Linked DNA regions of Sus scrofa. The protein of the gene in region 1 interacts with the protein of each later gene in a biochemical or structural test. Links are inferred from orthologs where the notes say so. Each region holds a gene or a part of one and is shown in the gene's direction. Other genes may lie near its edges.

The links.
Region 2: the proteins of SNTA1 (region 1) and DMD form a complex in vitro, tested with the Homo sapiens proteins (2 studies listed by BioGRID, with this or other methods). The link is inferred for Sus scrofa from reciprocal best matches to the Homo sapiens genes SNTA1 and DMD.
Region 3: the proteins of SNTA1 (region 1) and KCNJ4 interact in a test that uses a peptide from one of them, tested with the Homo sapiens proteins (2 studies listed by BioGRID and IntAct). The link is inferred for Sus scrofa from reciprocal best matches to the Homo sapiens genes SNTA1 and KCNJ4.

What each region holds. Positions count from the first base shown.
Region 1 is NC_010459.5:36,943,694-36,947,293, reverse strand, and holds the start of SNTA1 (alpha-1-syntrophin), read left to right. Parts: upstream 1-1,061; 5' UTR 1,062-1,191; coding exon 1,192-1,501; intron 1,502-3,600. UniProt on the Homo sapiens protein: Adapter protein that binds to and probably organizes the subcellular localization of a variety of membrane proteins. May link various receptors to the actin cytoskeleton and the extracellular matrix via the dystrophin glycoprotein complex.
Region 2 is NC_010461.5:27,122,002-27,130,323, reverse strand, and holds part of DMD (dystrophin), read left to right. Parts: intron 1-3,350; coding exon 3,351-3,552; intron 3,553-5,736; coding exon 5,737-5,822; intron 5,823-8,083; coding exon 8,084-8,241; intron 8,242-8,322. UniProt on the Homo sapiens protein: Anchors the extracellular matrix to the cytoskeleton via F-actin. Ligand for dystroglycan.
Region 3 is NC_010447.5:9,523,033-9,531,454, forward strand, and holds the start of KCNJ4 (inward rectifier potassium channel 4), read left to right. Parts: upstream 1-3,366; 5' UTR 3,367-4,235; intron 4,236-8,422. UniProt on the Homo sapiens protein: Inward rectifier potassium channels are characterized by a greater tendency to allow potassium to flow into the cell rather than out of it.

The sequences.
Region 1 (3,600 bases):
GCTAACACAGTGTCTGAGCAGTATTGTAAGCCAGGTCTCCAGAGACCCAGACCCAGAGAGCCCCACCTTCCAGCCCTCTTTCCTCACAGGGGTTCTTCTCCCTCCAGGTCTCTCAGTGTGGGACTTAAGGCTTCTCCGTATTTGACTGTGAACAGAACAACGGCTTAATCTTTAGTTTTATTTTGTCTTTTTTTTTTTTTTTTTTTTGGTCTTTTTAGGGCCGCACCCGCGGCATATGGAGGTTCCCAGGCTAGGGGTCAAATCGGAGCTGTAGCTGCCGGCCTACACCGCAGCCACAGCAACGCCAGATCCAAGCCATGTCTGCGACCTACACCACAGCTCACCCACTGAGCGAGGCCAGGGATGGAACCCACAACCTCATGGTTCCTAGTCGGATTCGGAAACCACTGAGCCACGACGTGAACTCCAAGAACAAGGGCTTAATCTCAAACACCTTTCCAATTTCCAAGTGAGGGCAGTACCCACTCTTTCCCCAAACCCTAAACAGCCTGCAACGTGCTCATCCCAGTGGGAGGGGCCTGTTAGCGTTAGTCACCACGCCCCACACTAAGCCACGCCCACAGATATTAGCTCTGGCCCCACCCTGGGAAACAGGCTCCCTCAAACCTTCTTTAGCTGCCAGCCTGCGAAGTCCCTCGCGGCTTGGTGTCTACTACTTAAACTCAAGCCCTGTCTCTGGAGTCCGGCTCTCCGCCATATGCAGTCCCACCTCAACAACCAAAGTCTCGCAGCAGTGTCCATGGTTCTTTTTCCTGTGCTGTCACGTAGGTGAGCGACGGTCCTGGCCCCGGACTGCCACGCCCAGCGAAGTCTCTTCCACAGGATGAAGCCACGCCCCTAATTGCCCCACCGCCCCCGTTTCAGAAGCTTCTCGCTGTAACTCGTGGTCCCGCCCAGACGCCCTTATGACCCCACCCCCATGAAGTCCCACACTACATCCTTCGGCTCCTGGACCCCGCCCTCCCTGTCTCTCCTGAAGCTTGTCTGTGGCCACGCCCCCGCCGTTAGCCACACCCACACATAGCCCCGCCCCTAGGCTCCACCCCCAGGTGGAGGGTGGCGGCAGGCCCAGTGGGGCCCCCGCTGCCCTCTGCCCTGGGCGCTGGGTCAGAGCCTGCCGGGCACTGCGGGACAGGGCGAACGCGGCGGCCTGGGGGCTCGGAGGCGAAGATGGCGTCAGGCAGGCGCGCCCCGCGCACAGGGCTGCTGGAACTGCGCGCCGGAGCGGGCTCGGGGGCCGGCGGAGAGCGGTGGCAGCGGGTGCTGCTCAGTCTAGCTGAGGACACGCTGACCGTGAGCCCCGCCGACGGCGAACCCGGCCCGGAACCCGTCGCCCAGCGGGAGCCGGTGCCCGCGCAGCTCAACGGTGCCACCGAACCAGGCGCCGCGTCCCCGCAGCTGCCTGAGGCGCAACTGCCCCAGACGCGCTTCGTGACGGTGCACAAGGCCGATGCCGGCGGGCTGGGTATCAGCATCAAAGGTGGGCGCCGGGGCACCGAGGGCGCTGGTTGTGGTGTCTGTGGGACAGATGAGGGCGCCGGGGTCGCAGGGGCTGGCGGCGTACCGAGGACGTGGAGTTGGAGGACTTCGGTCTTGGGGGTAAGGGCGTCCGAGAGGACAGAGGGAACCCAGGAAACAAGGAGCATCAAGGTCGGAGAGGGTTTTGAGAATCGGAAGTCTTAGTTAGAAGGCAGATATGTGGAGGGCGTTGAGGGGCCCACCGAGGACACGTGGGTGGGGAGTTCCGTGCGGAGGCGAAGAGATCTAAGACTGGTTGCCTCTCAGGGGTTGCACGGCCATCAGGGATAAGAGGAGCCCCAGGAGAGCAAAGGATGGAGAAAGGGGTTTGAGGCCTGGGGGGCTGCTAGGCCATGGATGGGGGAGTCTTCAAGATACAACCAAAGTGGGAGGGAGGGCTAGTAAGGCCTGGAGTAGGAAGCATGGCCGGTGAGGAGGATTGCAAACTACATGGAGGCACCAGCTGGACTGAGCTCCCAGATAGAGAGAAAAAAAGGACCTAGAAACCTGAGGCTGTGTACCTAGGTGAAGAGTCCTAAAAGCTGGGTTTGAGTTTCCTGATCTGACCATTTGCACCTTGCACATGATTGAGACTGGCTCTCAGCCCCTAGTACTGCAGCTGCAGCTGGGATTGGATCCCTAGCCTAGCCTGGGAACTTACATATGCCTCAGGTGTGGCCCTAAAAAGAAAAAAAAAAGAGTCCAAAGTACCCACCCTGCCAACACATAGTAGGTGCCTGGTTAATTATTGCTGTTAGATGAGAGGAAAAATGGAGGCCAGGAAAGACATCCCAAGTAACTAACCATAGTGCTAAAAAACCCTGCACACTCCAGCTGCTGGGTTCACCATTCCAAACCACTTACTTCTAAGGCTCCTAGCTCCCAGCCAAAGCAGTGTTATCTGACTTGGGAAAGGGTGTTAGCCTTGGGAAAGAGTTAGCCCTGGGTGTGCACATTTCTCTTACCCTGATATTGGCTCTGTTCCTGGTGCTTCCAGACCCTTTGGCCTAGGTGAGGGGTGACTTGGCTACCACTGTGTGTCAAGTGCTGTGCCCAGTACTCTAGGCTCACAATCTACTCTAACCTGGCTACAAGTACTAAAAGATAGGAAGCATAATCCTCATTTAGCCGGTGAAGAAACTGAGACTCAGAAAAGTCAAATGGTTTTCCCAGGATCACATAGCTGGTAAGTGGCAGAGCTGGGATTTGAACCTCAATTTTCAGGCCACTAGAGAGTGTCCAGAGAAGTCACTTCTTCCCCATAGAAGGACAAACTTCCGTGCAGCCAACCAAAGGCATCTAAAAGGGTGAAAAGGGAGAGCCAGGGAGGGAGCGCCAGTTTTGCCCTCAAAACTTTAGCAAAGGATAGGGCAACAGGTCAATCCAGAAATTGTACACTCAAAAGGAGGAAGGAACTTAAGAGTTCATATAGAGATCCATTTTGCAAATGGACAAACTGAATCTTGGAGAGGAGGGGAACTTTCTAAGGTCACATAAAATACTCCCCAGCTTCATTGTTCCAGGTGAGGGTAAAGGTATTTTTAGGAGGTGTCAGGGGAATACCAGCCCCATTCAATTCTTCATGTATGGAGACTGAGCTCCTGTTGCCATGTTGACCTTTCCTCTAGGGACCAGCCCAGCCCAAGGCATCCAGGAATGATTATGGATCCAAACTGAACTGAAGTTTGAGGTGACCCTTTGAAAGGGTAGTTTCAGGTGAAGAGGGCAGATATAAATAGAAATCTCTTCCTTTTCTAGGCCTCAGGCTCTTTGCAGTGCAAAGAGCAAACTGTTGGGTCTTTGTGGGGCGTCAGGAGAGGCATTCCAATGCTACTTCTGCCACCAATTTGTTGTGTGACCTTGGAATTATGACCTCCCTTCTCTGGGCCACTAATTCCTTATCTTTGAGGATAAACCAGTAGTGTGGTATCTGAGGGCCTGACCGTGGAGTTGAGTGTTGGTTCTGGAGCCAGGAGACCCAGATTTAGATATTTGTTTTGCCACTAACCAGCTGGGTAACCTTGTCCAAGGGGCTTCTCTCCACACTTCAGTTGTCCTGAT
Region 2 (8,322 bases), on another chromosome or scaffold:
TTCTCTGCTTTTCTTGCTTAACAATGAGGATCTTGAAGAGCTGGCCCCCCACCCACTCTCAGCCCACAGCCCTGATACATGAGGGCCACCACCGAATAGTCCATATTCTTCAATGGCATCAACCTGTAGCTTTGGAGTTTCCATTGTAGCACAGCAGAAATGAATCTGACTAGCATCCATGATGATGCAGGTTTGATCCCTGGACTGACTCAGTGGGTTAAGGATCCGACATTGCCATGAGCTGTGGTGTAGGCCAGCAGCCACAGCTCTGATTCAACCCCTAGCCTGGAAACTTCCATATGCTGTGGGTGTGGCCCACAAACGCAAAAAAATAAAGTTAATAACATATAGCATCCTCTACTGTCAAAATAACTTTTGAAAGACAGGGTATATTAGAATATACTTGTTTTTGATTTTTTTGTCTTTTGTCCTTTTAGGGCTGCACTTGTGGCATATGGAGGTTCCCAGGCTAGAGGTCTAATCAGAGCTGTTGCTGCTGGCCTACGCCACAGCCACAGCAACACCAAATCTGAGCCACATCTTCGACCTACACCGCAGCTCATGACAACACCGGATCTTTAACCCACTGAGCAAGTCCAGGGATCGAACTCGCAACCTCATGGTTCCTAGTTGGATTCGTTTCCGCTGCACCACGACGGCAACTCCGCATATTTGGGTTTTTATATAGCTTTAAAATTCCCTCAGTGAATACACTAAAGGAAATATATTTTCCCCCTAAATGGAAATTCCTAGCTTGAACTAAAGGGATAGTTTTACAAAACTGCGTCTGATAGTTGCTTGTTAAAGTTTCTAGAAACAGCTAATCATTATGTCTAATGTATCATAAAAAAACTCAATGTATTCTCTAAGATGCACATTTTGAACAGTTAAGTGTATGTTTGTGTGGCAATTAAATTGTCCCAACTGATTTTCTCACCTCTTTTCAAGTCTGTGGTATTGGCTATACACACCTAAATAGGAGTCTTTTAAAAATTGTTCCATGAAAGTGGTATTCTGTTTGATATGTTTGTTTTGGGAAACTGTGTTCTCCAGTCTTCTGTGATGGATCGTTGTGTTTAACCATGTCTGGTTTTAGCAGAACACACCGTATGGTATTTCTCTCCTAACTGTGTCATCTCCTGCTCCTGTTATTTCAGAGCAATTGCTTTGCGCCCCTCTGGAACTATTTATGCTCCCAGTTTCCTCTTCTGAGTGTTACTTGTTCACCTGTACAGAGAAAAGAGTAGGCCCAATAAAAAGAAATGCATGCCATTTTGCTGCTGGTGATTTGTTTCCATCACACAGGGAAATTAGATTCTTAACATGAAAGTGAGTCTAAACATTCTCACTTGTTACTTCTTATATCCTTGGGTGTAAAGCAAAATATTTGTAATGACTAAGGCAGAGTAACAAAAAAGAAAATACTAGAAAAACTTCCGGCCACCCTTGGCTTCATATATTGTATAAAGAAACATGTTGCAAACATTGGTACTTGATGGAAAACCACTTCTCTCTTCCGCTGGTGGAAATGGTGTGCTGCGTGTCTGAATGTTCTCACTGCTGACACCTGAAAATGTGTCCTCGGAGGAGGTCACCCAGCAGAGAGGATGGAAGTTTCTGTACCTCTCTCTGGTCTCTCATACAGTCCCTGGTAGGCCTTCCCCTCCTCCTGTCCTCCTGCCTGCTCGTGGTGTTATTTTAAAAAAAGTCTTTATTCTCTTTCCCACCTACTTCCCTCTCAAATCAAGTTATGTTCCTTTCTGCCACTTTAGACAGAAAGTAAAGAGATCATTTTTGTATCTTGAAAGTATTTTTAAGCCAAAGGAGTGGGGGCTTGGCTTTAATAGGATGAGTGCTCAGCCAGGGTATTTTAGGGAAACTGGTACATGGAAGCAGAGAGCTTTACTCACTGGGATGAAAGACAAAAAAAAAAAAAAAAAAAAAAAAACAAAAAACAAAAAACCACAAACCTACTTCCACCACCGGGTCTCCTTCATGCTTTCAGAGAAACTTCAAAGCTTACTATTTTCCTTTTTTTAAAAGAGAAAAACGTGCACTACATAGGTATTAACCTACAAAGGTATTAACCACTATTTTGGGGTTAGCATTTAATTAGAACTAGCCAGAAGCTGTTTACTGACTGGGATATACTGACTGTTATGGTCGTTCCTATCTGCAGTTACATTTATAATTGTGTTGCCTCCTGCCCCGAGATGCCTGAGAGATTTCCTTAATTACCATTGATTCTTCTTCTCCAAGGACTGGGAATTCAGACTAGAGCTTAAGATGTATAAGGTGTTATAAAAGCAATGTTGTTGCATTTCCAATTTGGCTAATAAATTGGCTTTAGAGAAAAGCATCTTTCCATGACAGTTTGAGAGTTAAGCTTACGATTTGCTGATGTTGGATGAGGTTGAGGTTTCACTTTAGATAAATGTTTGTCTTTCAGCATATGATTAAATACCACCTCAGATCAAAGGAACCTCCCCACCCACTTAGAAAGTTCTTAGAGGACTTGAAAAGTACATTGTAGAATATAATTTGAAGGTGAAAGGAGAAATAAGTGAGCCTGGTGTCTGAAAACAGCATAGGTGATGCAGTTATTTTAGTTTGCCTATAGAAAATTGTAATGAGGGTGATTATTTTTTTCACCTAGTATGAACATAGCAGAGATTAGGAGGTGACTGATATTTCAAGGAGAAAAACGCTTAATGATTATAAATGCATATCTGGAAATAGAGTTTATACAACCATAACCATACAGATTAATCAAACTGACCTTCTGTGATACTAATACAAGAAAGTATTCTCAGGGACTTCGAAAATCTCTAGTAAAACATTTTTTTTCCCTGATTTGGGTGAAAATGACTTTGTTCCCATAGAGCACTATCGGGCCCCCTGAACTCTCAGGTATTTCCTAATACTTCAGGAGTGGGAGCTGTCTCTTTACCTACATCTTCATCCAATGCCAGTGAGACTTAAGAAAAACCTCAGAGCTTCAATACCCATCAAACCCATCAAACTTAAAGCTGAGGGATGCAAACAAAATGCTTTAATAAGAGAGGGTGCAGGGAGTTCATTGTAGCACAGTGGGTTAAGGATCCAGTGTTGTCACTGCAGTGACTCGGGTTGCTGCTGTGACACAGGTTCAATCCCTGGCCTAGGAACTTCCACATGTCGCAGGTATGGCCAAAAATAAATAAAAATAAGATAAAATAAAAAGAGGGTATGGTTCAGGTTTGGTGTCTACTAAAGGGACAAGACAACACTACTAAGATTGTCAAAAAGAGAAACAGCAAAGAAAGGATTTTCCCCTTTGAATCACTTGTGATTTTGTGTGACTTTTGCAGTGGATCTCTTGAGCCTGTCAGCTGCATGCGATGCCTTGGACCAGCACAACCTCAAGCAGAATGACCAGCCCATGGACATCCTGCAGATCATTAATTGTTTGACCACTGTTTATGATCGCCTGGAGCAAGAGCACAACAATCTGGTCAACGTCCCCCTCTGCGTGGATATGTGTCTCAACTGGCTGCTGAATGTTTATGACACGTACGTATGGCAGGCTTTTTCCAGACTCTGTCATGGGAGGCTTGGTTTACAGAATGGTGACAGTGTAATTACCATCACAACAGGGCTCCAGTCTAGAAATATGGTCCTTGGAATGAAAGTTTCATGAAGCCCTCTGACCTTATGTTGTCCCCGTGATTAATCATTTTTGCCTTTAATGGAACTGAAAAATATGTTGAGAAGTGGGGAGGGTAAGAACAATAAGGTAGGTTGTTCTCAGATCATCAAGCAGACAAAACCCCAAAGTTACTCATTTTTCCAGTAGTAGCATGAGACAGTGTGTAGCCCTTGGTTCTCTGCCTTCCTTGCCTGTGTACTTTGAACTTCATCCTCTTCAGGGATGGCTCCCTCTCACCAGCCGGAAGGGGTGAGCTCCTGGAGATGCTGGCACACCTGTCACCAGCTCTGAACAGTGTTTGCTGATATTCATAGGTTTTTGCAGAAGGCTGCATTGATAAGCAAAAAGGAAAAGAAAAGAAAATAAGCCCTTGATGTAGCAAACTCAGCTCCTCAAACTGAGGAAGTTTTGTCTTTTTTTTTTTTTTTTTTAAATAAGGGTTTATGAAGTTGCAATTTGGCCCTCCATTTATCTCTCTCTTAGAACTTGCTTATTTCTTTTGGATTACACTTAGGCGAGCTCCCCAGTTTCATCTTGAGCTTAATGAAGATAATTGAGGAAGGCAGCAGAAGGAATTGGTCTTAATTTTGACTGAATTCTTCTCAGACCTCAAAATTATTATATGCCCGATTTCCCATGTCAATAAGAACATTTTCCACATTTGGAAATCTGCAAAGGTTTTCTGAAAGGAGTTGCATAGCAACTGTTTTGCTTTTGCCTTTGTTGTAGATTTCTACCATCTCCTGGCTTAAAATGTATACCTTTTTTTCTTTGTTACTTTGATAAGGCATTGCTTTCTAAATTCCAAATCACCTGGCTATTGAATTCTGATCATTATCTACCAAGCTCTTGAACATGTTGGATTTTAATTACGGATTATACTTACACTTGCTTTGATAAGGGTTTCTATTCAGGTCTTCCCTCAAATGTATTTTGGCACCATTTTCTTTCCAGATGTTGTGTAAATGGATTCTGGTAACTTCCTCTCTCTATGCCTGAAAATTTTGAGGGGACAATTTTAACTCCTTGAAGACCTGAGTTTTTACATAAAGTTTGTTAAACTTTGCTTTGCCTTTTTAAAAAGGGAAAAAGATAAAATCTTCAATGATAGTGCTTTTGTTAATGTGTTAGGACCCACGATTTCCATTTTTTACTAATAGATTTAGTAAATTGTACCAGTTGAAAGGTGAACATATTTTTCACCAAAAATAACCACCATTGGGACTTGTCCTTTGCCATTCTCCAGACTATTTTTTTAACCAGCAAATATGGTTCAGTATTTTTCACAACAAAATCAAAGCTGAAAACTATCAAAAGGCATTTTCTAGAAAATGAAAAACTTCATTTTAATTTTCCCATGGATAAAATGAACTTATTAATAAATACCTTCTGGAATGCTTTATATGTAACATGAAAGTACATCTGTATTAAAACATTGCTGTAGCAATAGGTTATTTTTAATTTGCTGTTTAAGATCATCTAGCTGAATGCTCTCTAATAAACTGCATCATATTTTTCTTATAGACATAAATATTCCCATTTTATATTACATGTCATGTGGCCTGAAGTGATTAATTTTCTTCTCAATAAAGGGCAATCTGATGAAAATCTAAATGAGTGTTGAAGAGGGCAGAGCAGTTAGGCAGTTAGTTAATTTTTTTTTTTTTTTTGGCTTCAGTAACCAAAGTAGGTAATTTGCTTATTAGTACATAGTAGTAAATCTTCCACTTATTAACTTAGCCCAGGTGGCTCTCCCTAGATAAATAGAGGCTATTTTTTTCTTCTTTTATGTAGAGAAACTCTTACCATTCAAGAAGGGGTTTTTAAGAATTGAAAACTTGCTAAGTGTTCATTGGTTGAGTTGGTCAAATTTCCATCGCATTCTAGGTTATCAGCCAGATAGATAATGAACTCAGAAATGTTCTTAACGATCTTAAACAATGGTCAATAGAGTTCCCATATCCAAGGGTTTTTTTCTTAACTGAGAAGTTTTTTATCATTTAGTAAAGTGTCAGTAATTGTTTTTCTGCTTTGATTATTCATAATAGGGGACGAACGGGGAGGATTCGGGTCCTGTCTTTTAAAACTGGCATCGTTTCTCTGTGTAAAGCACACTTGGAAGACAAGTACAGATGTAAGTCATGTGTATTAAGTCTGTATTCTTTTATTAATGGTGGCTAATTACCCCTGTTCTAGATGGGGAATGACATAGTGTTCTTATTTGGCAGCAGGTTCCTCATGTAAGGTGTAGAACTACTTTTAGACTGTCATAAAATTTGGTTTGTGCCATTCCCTGTCAGACGTTAAATTGTAGGTATTTAAATAGAGAATGAGGATTAACTTCTCCAGTGCAAGTGTTATTTTACATTGCATTGACTATGTCTAAACAAAACACATGTTCCTTGGGGATAAAGTCTGATTTCCTAACCCCTTTGTCTAAGTCAGAAAAATAAATGTGAAGGTTTAATCCCTGCACTTGCCTCGTCTTTTGAGTCTTATTTAAAGAGCACTATCTGGCATTCATGTTCAGGAAACATTGTTTATTTTATAATCATCTTCCTGCAAGTTGTACTGACATATCCAATTCTGTGATGTGATTAACATTTTATTATTTGAGAGACAGCTCGTCATTTCTTACAGGATAAATATCACCTTATAAAATTTCCTTTTGATTAGCCATTGGGTGCTTCTGCTTAAAATTTGTAAATCCAAATTAAAAGCAAATGCTGGAGGAGGGATGGTTGAGATGACTAAGCAACGATTTATTCCCATCGTAAAAGAATGTACCTGTATTTCCCCATTAAATGCTTGCGAGACATCTTTTCGGTAGGAATATTAAACAAACCTAGTCTATCTGGTCTTTTCTTTTTTCCCCTAAGGCCTAGCCACACAGGGATAAGGAGCTGTGCTGAGCTTAAGGATGGGCAGGAGATAAAAGAGATTGAATTCCTCCAAAGCCACTCTGTATCCTATTGCTCATTTCCCCCCAGGAGTAAGCCACAAATATACAAGCTCTTTTAACGCTCACTTTTATGTAGTTTCCACTTGAGTTTCCCCATCCTGAGAACCCAAGAAAAAAATAACGGAACAGCTTTTGTTAGCCATTTAAAAATGTATTGGGGAGTTCCCAGCAGGTTAAGGATCCAGTGTTGTTATGGCAGTGGCTCGGGTCACTGCTTCGGCATGCATTTGATCCCTGGCTGGGGAACTTACACATGCTACAGGCACAGCCAAAACAAAATGTATTTTGGATGAAATAGAATACTTCTGTGGGATCTTCTTCTTTCAATACGGTAGTGACTTGTTATAGGTTAGCTTTTACTCTAACCTGGCCAGTGGTGTAGTACCAGTATATCGTCATTCCCACTCAATTCATCAATGGAGCTTCCAGCCCATGTTTCAAATAACTACTAGGAGGGAATATGTTTGAGGTTGGTGAAACAAAAATGTTAACTTCAAACTGGGACATTTGAAGGTAATTCATAATTTTGAAATTTTGTGTGTATGCTGGAGAGATGGGGAAGGGCTCTCTGTGAAGCCTCAGTGTTGGTACTGCCATCATAAATATCCTGTTAAAACTTCAGGTTTCTTAGAGTTTTAATTTCTTAGTGCTTATGAGTAAGAAAAGCTCTCATCCATTTACTTTTGGGACAACTTTTATTTGAATATGAGGTAGGATTAAAATAATTCTATTTTTGAGAACAAAACATGTATTGTAAGTGTTTGGTATGTTTTTTCATTCCTTGAATCCCTGTGTATTGGGCACCCACCAGCCTCCAGGAACTGCTCTTCTATTTCTGGCACACAGTGGACCAAGATGTGGTCCCTGCCCTCAAGGGGTATCTTTCACCAGCCAAAAAGACACATATTGAATCAGTAACAGTGTACAGTGATGCTAATCACAAATATGTTCAGCATCCTTTGGAAACACATACTAGAAATTCAGTGATTGTATGACTTCATAAAGAGGTCCTGATTTGGATATATTTTGGAATCTGGTGTCCAAAGAGGATAGTGCTTTGGGCCAGTTATAAGATTCTTAATGCTAAAACATTTATTTTATAATAGTGGTCATGTCCTATATATAAAATATTTTCCAAAGGATTATGTTCTGGCTTAGGAAAAATTCACATGTCAGAACTGTATGTAAACTCTCATTTCTTGCAGGGCTGTAGTTTATTTAAAAGTTGTCATGTTTCATTTATACACAGTGATGATTAACTCAACCCATAAAAATAATAAATGTCCAGATTAGCATACAGTGGAAGTAACCCTTCTGGGGAAATCTTGGCTGCTCTTGAGAATTGGTACCGGAATTGAGTTGGTCCTTAGGTTTTGCTAGTATCTGCTGGGTACTGATTTTTGATTGTTGAAATTCTCTTCTTCCTTTTGTAGACCTGTTCAAGCAAGTGGCCAGTTCAACAGGATTTTGTGACCAGCGCAGACTGGGCCTCCTTCTGCATGATTCTATCCAAATCCCAAGACAGCTGGGAGAAGTTGCATCCTTTGGGGGAAGCAACATTGAGCCAAGTGTCAGGAGCTGCTTCCAATTTGTAAGTTATTTACCCTCTTAACATATTTATTCTTTTGTACTTCAGCAATTAATTTAAAAACCACAGAACTTTAGTTTCTCA
Region 3 (8,422 bases), on another chromosome or scaffold:
TTCCTCACCTGGAAACTAGGGATAGACAGTCAGGGTCTCTGCCTCAGTGAGTTGTTGTGAGGGGCAAACAGGAGGAATGGAGAACGGGCCGGAGGCTTTAGCAAAACCTACAGATGGACGCCAGTTTTCACTATGGTTCCCATCAAACTTCAGAGCAGATCTCACCCTTGCAAAGAGTTCTTCCAGGCCCCCCGGGCCATGCCACATGCCTCAGCTTCCCTGCTGGTAACAAAGGCCTGTGTCACAGGGCTCCTGTAAGGGCGAAACGAGACTCTGCCCGTGAAGGCCTGAGTAGTGCTGGCCGCTGTGACGCCAGGCACTCCAGCGATGTCTCTTCTCCCTCCATCCGGGGGGTGCTTCTGTGTTAGATGATGACAAAGTCTATTTGCCCTTTGGGGACCCAGGCCAGATTATCCCATGACAGATGAGGCCTGTGAGGTCCAGCAAGGACAAGGAGCTTGCCCAGGGTCACCCAGTTCTGACACCCAAACCTGCCACTCCCACCCCTGCAACCTTTGCATACCTGTCTCACAGGCCTTCCCACCCCCTCCCCACCCCGCCCCGCACACAGCGAGGAGCTACTGGAACATGGCAGATCCTTCCATTAGTCTTTCATCATCCTTGGAACAGCCCCTTAAAGTGGACGTGATCCTCCCCACTTTACATATGAGGAAACTGAGGCCCAGAGAGGAGAGGTGAGCTGTCCAGAGTCACACAGGATTGGAGGGTGACTTTTTTTTCCAGTGGTCTGTGAAGTTCTCCCTGACTGGAGCTGCCCTTTCTGCCTCTCCTCCCTTTCTCCCAGTCTGCTCTCAGCCGCCACAGGACTCTCCTTATAGGAGATGAGCCACAGAGGCCGCCAGGCCCAGCAAGGTGATCATTATTGGATGTTTCGATGTTTCCTCTCAACCCCTGTGGTGTCACAGCTGCCCCCCCAAGTCACTGCCCCTGAGCCCGCCCCCCCCCAGCCGCTCTTTCCTGAAACTGGTACCCAGTGACCAGGCATTGGGTTTGATCCCACAGAAACAGATGCTCTGGGTCTAAAGACACCCCTGTATCCATCTCTCCCTTCTTCCTGCCCTTTCTCCTTCCTCTGCACCCCCCACACCCTCAGGGCAGCCACCGGGCCAGGTCTCTGGCCAGGGGAAGAGACCACAGGACATTTGCCTCACCTGCATCCGCCCACTTCCAATTCAGGGAAAGGTGTGATAAGCAAGAGGCATACACCACAGCTGACCCCGCCTTCAGACTGTTAAGTTCTCCCGGCCATTCACACACCAAAGACTCCTCCCAGGGAACATCAGTCCTGGTTGCCCGCCCACGAGGGCACAGCAGGGTAATGAGGAAGCTGGGCAGGGAATGGGGCATGCGCCTTGAAGCTCTGCAGTGTCGAGGGGAGGACTGAGAAGGGATAGTCACGTTTACTGAGCACCTGCTATGAACTGTGCATTTCTTGTGCATCGACCTCCTGTGAGGGGAGGGACTGTGAGGGTCCTGGTTTTATTTTATTTTATTTATTTTACCATGCCTGTGGCATGTGGAAGTTGCCAGGCCAGGGACTGAACCCATGCCACAGTAGTGACCTGAGCTGCTGCAGCGACAACGCTGGATCTTTAACGCGTTGCACCACAAGGGAACTCCAGGGTCTTAATATTATAAACAGGTTCAATAAAATATCTGCTCAAGGTCATGCAGCTCCTAAGTGCTGTAGCTGAGGTTGGCCTGACTCCCAAGCCCACCTAACAAGAACTAAACTTGTGGAGTTCCCGTCGTGGCGCAGTGGTTAACGAATCCGACTAGGAACCATGAGGTTGCGGGTTCGGTCCCTGCCCTTGCTCAGTGGGTTATTGATCCGGCGTTGCCGTGAGCTGTGGTGTAGGTTGCAGATGCAGCTCGGATCCTGCGTTGCTGTGGCTCTGGCTGTTGCTGTGGCTACAGCTCCGATTAGACCCCTAGCCTGGGAACCCCCATATGCCGTGGGAGCGGCCCAAAGAAATAGCAAAAAGACAAAAAAAAAAAAAAAAAAAAAAAAAAAGAACTAAACTTGTGGCCGGTGCTGGATGAATGAATGAGGAGGTGATGGATGACTTCTGCTAAGGGCAGCAGGAGGCCTTCCTAGGGGAGGTGGCGTGGAGGCTGGACTTGGGAAACAGCAGGAATTCTTAGAGCAGAGAAGCAGGAAGGGCATTTAAGGCAGGAAGAATAGCATGTGCAAAGGCAGAGAGGTGTGGAAGCATCTGGTGTGTTCGGGAATCTGTAGGCATCGTGGTGTATGTGTGGGTATATGGGGTGTGAGATAAGGTGGGACCTGACTGTACATCACACTGAGGAGTTGGGACGCAATCCTTTTAGGAGGGGAGGGACTGTGGGGATTGGGAACAGTCATGATGGTTCAAGTGTGGTGGTTCCTGTGCCTGCGGCAACTTCAGAGGGTCAGCTTGAAGGATGAGCTGGAGATTTTATGTTCAGTAAATTCTCGGTCCGGCTTGGAGTGCCCCAATCTCCCTCACTTAACTGGGGCCAGTCAGAGATGGCCAGGCTCCCAGGGAAGTCCTTCTGGCTATCTAACTGCAGGTATTCGTTCATCCTCGCACCCTACATCCTCTAACCTCCTGCATCCTCAGAGTGAGGTGGCAGGAATGGCCACGGGAGTGGCTGGCTCGCCAGGGGCTGTGAGGAGCTGGGGCTTTCTCCCCACAGTCCAGACTGGTGTGGGGTCCAGACCGGTGCGCCCCCAAGATGAGAAGGAAACGGGCGAGATCCTCCCTATAAAGACATTTTGGGGTGATGGGGACGCAGAGAAGGAAAAACTGTGGTTTGGCCCGGCTCTGCCACCTCTGGGTGACCTTGGGCAAACTTATGACCCTTTCTGATACCCAGTTTCCCAGTCTGTCAAACGGGGCGGTGCTGCCCAGCGGATGGTGAGGGTCCCTCCAGGAGGGTTACACCTCCGGCTCCCGGGGGCGGGGTGCGTAGGGTCCTTAATGGCCAGTCCTGCAGGAGGGGAAGGGAACCGCCGAGGGGAGTGGCCCGCAGCCGAGGAACCGGGTACCGACCCTATCCCACCCACTCCCTTCCCGGCGCGGAGGAACCCTCTCCACCTGCCCCTGGGGGGCGAGAAAACCTGGGAGCGGATTCTCGGAGCGGGTTCTGGGCGGAGTGCTCCTGGAGGGAGGAGGAAAACCCGGGCAGGATCTGGGACAGGAGCGGCCCCCGCGGCCCCCAGCCCCTGCCCGGCCCGGCGCTGCCCGCGGGTGGGAGGGGGTGTGATGCCGGGCTAGGCTGAGGGGACGGGCCGGGGCCGGGTCCCCCGGGCCGCCCGGGGCTCCGGGGCTGGGGTGGGGGGGCGCGGCCTCCGCAGCGGGGCGCGGGTCACGTGTGAGGAGGGGCGAAAGTCTCGCAAAGCGGGGCGGCGTGCCGCGAGTTGGGAGTTCTCGGCGCGCCGCGGGCGGCGGGAGCTCGGGCTCCCGGGCGAGCCGGGGACGCGGCAGAGGCGGGGGCCTGGGTCCGAGACCGCGGGGGCCGCACCGAGAGTGGGAGGCAGAGAGAGAGAGAGGCAGAGGCAGGGACCCGGAGCGAGACAGAGACGCTCAGGGGAGAGAGGGCAGAGGCAGAGGAAGGCAGCGGACAGACCGGGAGGGCGACGGAGACGAAGACAGGGGCCCGCGGGGAGAGTCGGAGAGACCCAGGCGGGCAGGAGAGACTGCGAGAGACCGAGAGCCGAGGGGGCCGGCGGGGGCGGGGGCGGCAGAGCCCGGGCCGGCCGGCTTCGGGGGTCTCGGGGCCGGAGGCGAGCGCAGCGGGCCAGGGAGCGGAGCGCAGGGCGGGGGACAGCGCCGAGGGACAGCGAGAGAACCGTGGGGGCGGCGGAGAGAAGGCGGCGGGGGCGGGGGGCTCCAGCGCCATGGGTCCCCGGACCCCCGCGCTCTGAGCCCCGGCCCGGGGCCCGACGATGCTGAAGCTGAGGCGGCGCCGAGGGCGCGGCGCGGGGCAGCGCTGAAAGTTGGGCGGCCGGCGGGGAGCGGCGCGGGACGGCCCGGAGGCCGGGACACCGGGGGACCGACGGACAGACCCACAGGCAGCGGGGGAGGGGGGCGGGGCCGGCCGCCGAGTTCGCGGGGAAGGGGCGCCGGGACTCCCCGCTCCCGGCCCGGGACGCTGCCCGCCCGACTGCGCCGTGGGATGTAGCGGCCTCTCGCCGCCTCCCGGAGACTCGTCGGACCCTGCGCCCCGCGGTAAGCCCGGCCGGCGCTCGCCGCTGGCGCTGTCCGTCCGTCTGTCCCGCCGCGTGCGTGTGTATGTGTGTGTGTCCCGGGGCCTGGCGGCTCGGGCCCCGCCCGCTCGGCACCTTATCCCCTGACCCGGGCTTCGGCCGCCGGGCGCGCGTTCAGCGCGATCAGGCGACTTCCCCGGAGCCGAGGAGCTCTGTCCTCTGTCCGTCGTCGTCTCAGGAGCGTCAAGGTCTGGGTTTCTGCCAGGAGGGGGGGTAGAGGTGAGTGCAAAGGGCCTGGACCTCTTGCCCCGGCCGTGACCTTTCCCTGCCTCCACCCACCCCCAGTTGTCACACTGGGTTGGAGGAGTTTCAAAGCAGATGACTTGTGGCAAAGGGGGGGGGGGGTCTCCTATCCACCTCCCCAACTGCAGCCTGTTTGCAAAATGGCCCTGACAGAACAAAATCCCTCTTCTCTCGTTTTGAGCACCTGCTTTGGGCCCTGAGACCCTAGAGAGGGTGGACAGGGATGGATGAAGCAGTTCAGGCTTCCCAGCGGTGGCGACAGGCCACAGAGGGAGGCCAGAGTGCCTTCCCTCCCTAGACGGAGAGCACCAGGAAAGAGAGGTCTGGATGGAGTAGGGAAACTTCCCTGCAACCGTGCCCAGTGTCCCCTGACCAGCATCTACATGGCACTTGTGTTTCCAGAGCCCAGGCTCTAAGATGGGGAGAGGGTGCAGGGGGGTGGTGGGGGTGGGCGAGAGACAGGTGGAGGGCTGCCTGGCATAGTTAGCAGGCGGGGGCCTCCGGAGCAGGAGGATGCCAAGAAGCAGGTTGAGGGAACAGAGAGCTGAGGGAGGGAGGCCTAAGGGCCACACATGCAAGGTCCAGAGAGGAGCCAGACCTGTGTGTGTGTGCGTGTGCGTGTGCGTGTGTGTGTGTGTGTGTGTGTAGAATGTCTATTCTGTTTCTCCCCCACATCCAGTCTTGTGACCTCCATGGCTTTGGGACTTTTGAGAGCTGTTGGCAGGACTTTGGGGGCCTGAGAGCCAAACTGTGGTCCTGGCGTGGCCTGGGATGAGGGGACAACATGTGGAAGGGGGCACTGGGCTCAGGGCTGCCGTGCGGTGTGGCAGGAGCAAAGGCGGTTGGCTGTTGAGCTGACCTATAGCCAAATCGGAGTCTGGAGGGCTGAACCTAGAACATTCTACTTGGTTCTCTCCTGGGGGATGGGCTCTTCCTGGGGTTTTCCCCACTGGGCAGTGGGCCTTGGGTAGCCCCCATTTGGGCTCCTAGAAGTCTGCTCAGCTGGCAGAGGGGCCAGCACCACGGGCAAGCCGCTCTCCTCCCTGGCCCTCAACTTCCACATCTGTGGAATGAGGACAGCAGTCAGTCCCCTGTCCCACTGACCTCCAAGGGAGGGGGGGCTGGGCTCGAGGGAGCCGAGGGCTGTCTACAGGCTGGGAAAGTGCAGAGCAAATGGAAGTAAAGACTCATTTTACCTCTGGGAAGAGGCATAGCTAACGGGGAGGGGGAACGTGGCCTGAACTAGAGGACTGACCAAGAAGGGCAGTGTCCGGCATCCGAGGAGGGGGACCTGGGGCTGGGGACCTCTTCCTCAGGAACCTTTGGGTGTACCCTGGAAAGGGAAGCTCCTCTCTCCTGCAAGTATTGGAGTGACTGGGACTAGACAGGGCTGGCCTTGAATTTCTCCTGGGTGACCTTGGGCAGCTGGCCGGACCTCTCTGGGCCTCGGTTTCTTCACCTGGGAAGTGGGGATGACGGCACTGACTTCTTTGGGTTGCTGAGTGATTCGCAGACTAGGTCAGGTCTCTGGAAGCAGCTGACACAAGTCTGGAGCATAGTAGGTTCTTACCTGACATTTGCAGAGCAGAGAATGAAGGAGCCCTAGGAGATACGGTGAAAGGATTTCTTAGCTTAGGATGGAAGAGGGAAGGGGAGGAGGAACAGTGTAGGCTTACAGGGCGGGCTGGTTCTTAATGTGGATCTGGGGGAGGCGGGGGCGTGTGCCGAGGGGGGTGTGAGGAGGAGGGGGGCCCTCTGCGGGGACCACTGAGTCACGAGGACATGGAAGCGACATGACAACCAGCAACATGGTAACCAGGAGACTCGCGGCGGTGGGAAATGGAGCTGGAGCGGTGTGCTGGGGGGGGGCAGCCCTGGCAGCCCTGGGCCTGGAGGGTCCGGGGACCAGCCAGGCTGGCCTCTCAGAGTGAGGAGGGGAGGCCCGGAGGCCAGGTGGGCCAGGGAGGAGGTGGGGCCCGGAGTCGAATCGGGGAGGCGTCTTGGGGTCTGCTGGGCAGGGGGCCTTCTCCTGCACCTCCCCAGGCTCCTCGCTCCTCTCCTCCACATCTCCACTTTTCATGCCTCTCCCCCTAGGATGCCAAATTTGGCTCACGCAATCTGTCGTCTCTCTTCTGAGATTGGCACCGGGACCAAAGCCGAGCGCATTACATCACCGCCGCTCCCCCTGCACGAGGAGAGAAGGAGAGGGAGGGACAGAGGGCTGGGGGCAAGCGGCCAACCCTCAACTTTCTTTCCTGTCTTCCTGCTCACTCTTCTCCCTCCGTCCCGGGTATCAGGGGCTCCTGGGAGCAGCCAGGCAGGGCCGAGAGGCCGTTGAGAGCTCTAATCTTGGAGATCTCCGGGCAGGGCAGGAGGTCAGACTGTGTTTCTGTCCCCTTGGCGAGGTGAGGCCCGGGAGGCGGGGAGCCTGAGTTCAGGACCCCAGTCTGCGGTGGCTTGGCTCTGTGACCTTGGGCAGCCCCCCCAGCCCCCACCCTGTGCAGAGTCTACAGCTGTATCCAGAACGGTTGGCCATTCAAGATCTCGGTGACTCTCCTGAGAAAAGATGCCCTTGAGTCCTGCTGCTCTCCTGGGCACAGAGAAGGAGTCCTGAATTGCGAATAGCTCTCTGTGGCCTTGAACAAGTGACTTTCCCTGTTTCTACCTCCATCTCCTCACCTGTAAAATGGGGATGATAGAACCCTCAAAAGCAAGAAACGGGAGAGAGGTACTGGACGCAAAAGAGGGGTTCAGGGGGAAGAGACAGAGTCTCTGGCCTGAAACCAGACACTCGGGAGCCCCATGGGTCCCAGCATGCTGGGCTGGAGGTGAGGGGCCAGCCATCCCAGCCGCTGGCAGGACGGGGTGTCGATTCAAACCAGATTTGTCGCTAAACTGCTGGTCTGAGGCCCAGAGTTTACAGACGTGGAAACTGAGACCCAGAAAGGGAAGTGGATCCTCCACCCCCACCGCTAAGGTCACAGTGATGATCTGAGGGTGGAGGAAGCAGAGCTGGGTCCTAAACCCAGGCCTCCGGGATCCCAGCCCTGCCTGGAAGTAGGCAGAGACACAGGCAGATACACACCCCCTGCGGAGGATGCGGCCAGCCCGGCCAAGACCCGGAGTTTTGAGGGCCCAGTGCGCCCTTTGGCTCCCTCCCTTCTCCCTTCCTGCCCCCCAGCTGCCCCGTCTCCACCATCCCTGGCCGTTCATTCCACCCCTCATTTGGTCTATTTGAAGCGCTCCCTTTCAGGCTCATTTGAAAGCCAGTTTCAGGCAGTCCCAGTCAGAGACAGGCTGGAGTTGGGGTTCAGATGGAAGATGATCGCCCCTTCTAGAAGCTTCCCAGAACTGGAGGTAGAGAAAGACGGGGAGCATCTGTCGGATGTTTTATGAAAGAGTGAGCTCCTCCTGCCCAGAGCTCTTCAAGTAGAACCAGTTGAGTACCTGCCAGGGAGCCTGACCGGGTGACTCCCGCTTCATGGGTGAGATTGAGTGACATTCCCACCTCCCAGATCTCGAGAGTCTGTGATGTCTGGAGAGGAGCCGGGAGGCAGCCCCGGCACTTACTGGCTTCCCAGCAAGGAGGCTCACGTCGGCCCGCCAGGTCCTTGTCCGTCCTTCTCCTCCAACCCTCCCAGCAAGCCCACAATGTCGGACTGAGGTCCCCATATTACAGATGGGGGAGCCACGGCTCAGAGAGTCTCAGTGACTTGTCCAAGGTCACACAGCAGGGAAGTGGAGGAGCCTGGATTGGAGTCTGGGCCAGTCTGATTCTCCGAGGCTGTCCCTGGGACTTCCTTGAGGAAGGAGTGGAAACGTCCCTCCCCTGGGCTGGGGCTTTGGCAGGAGATGATGTGTCGCCCCCACAGCGTGACACCCCCTCAGAGATCCTCCAGGGGCTCC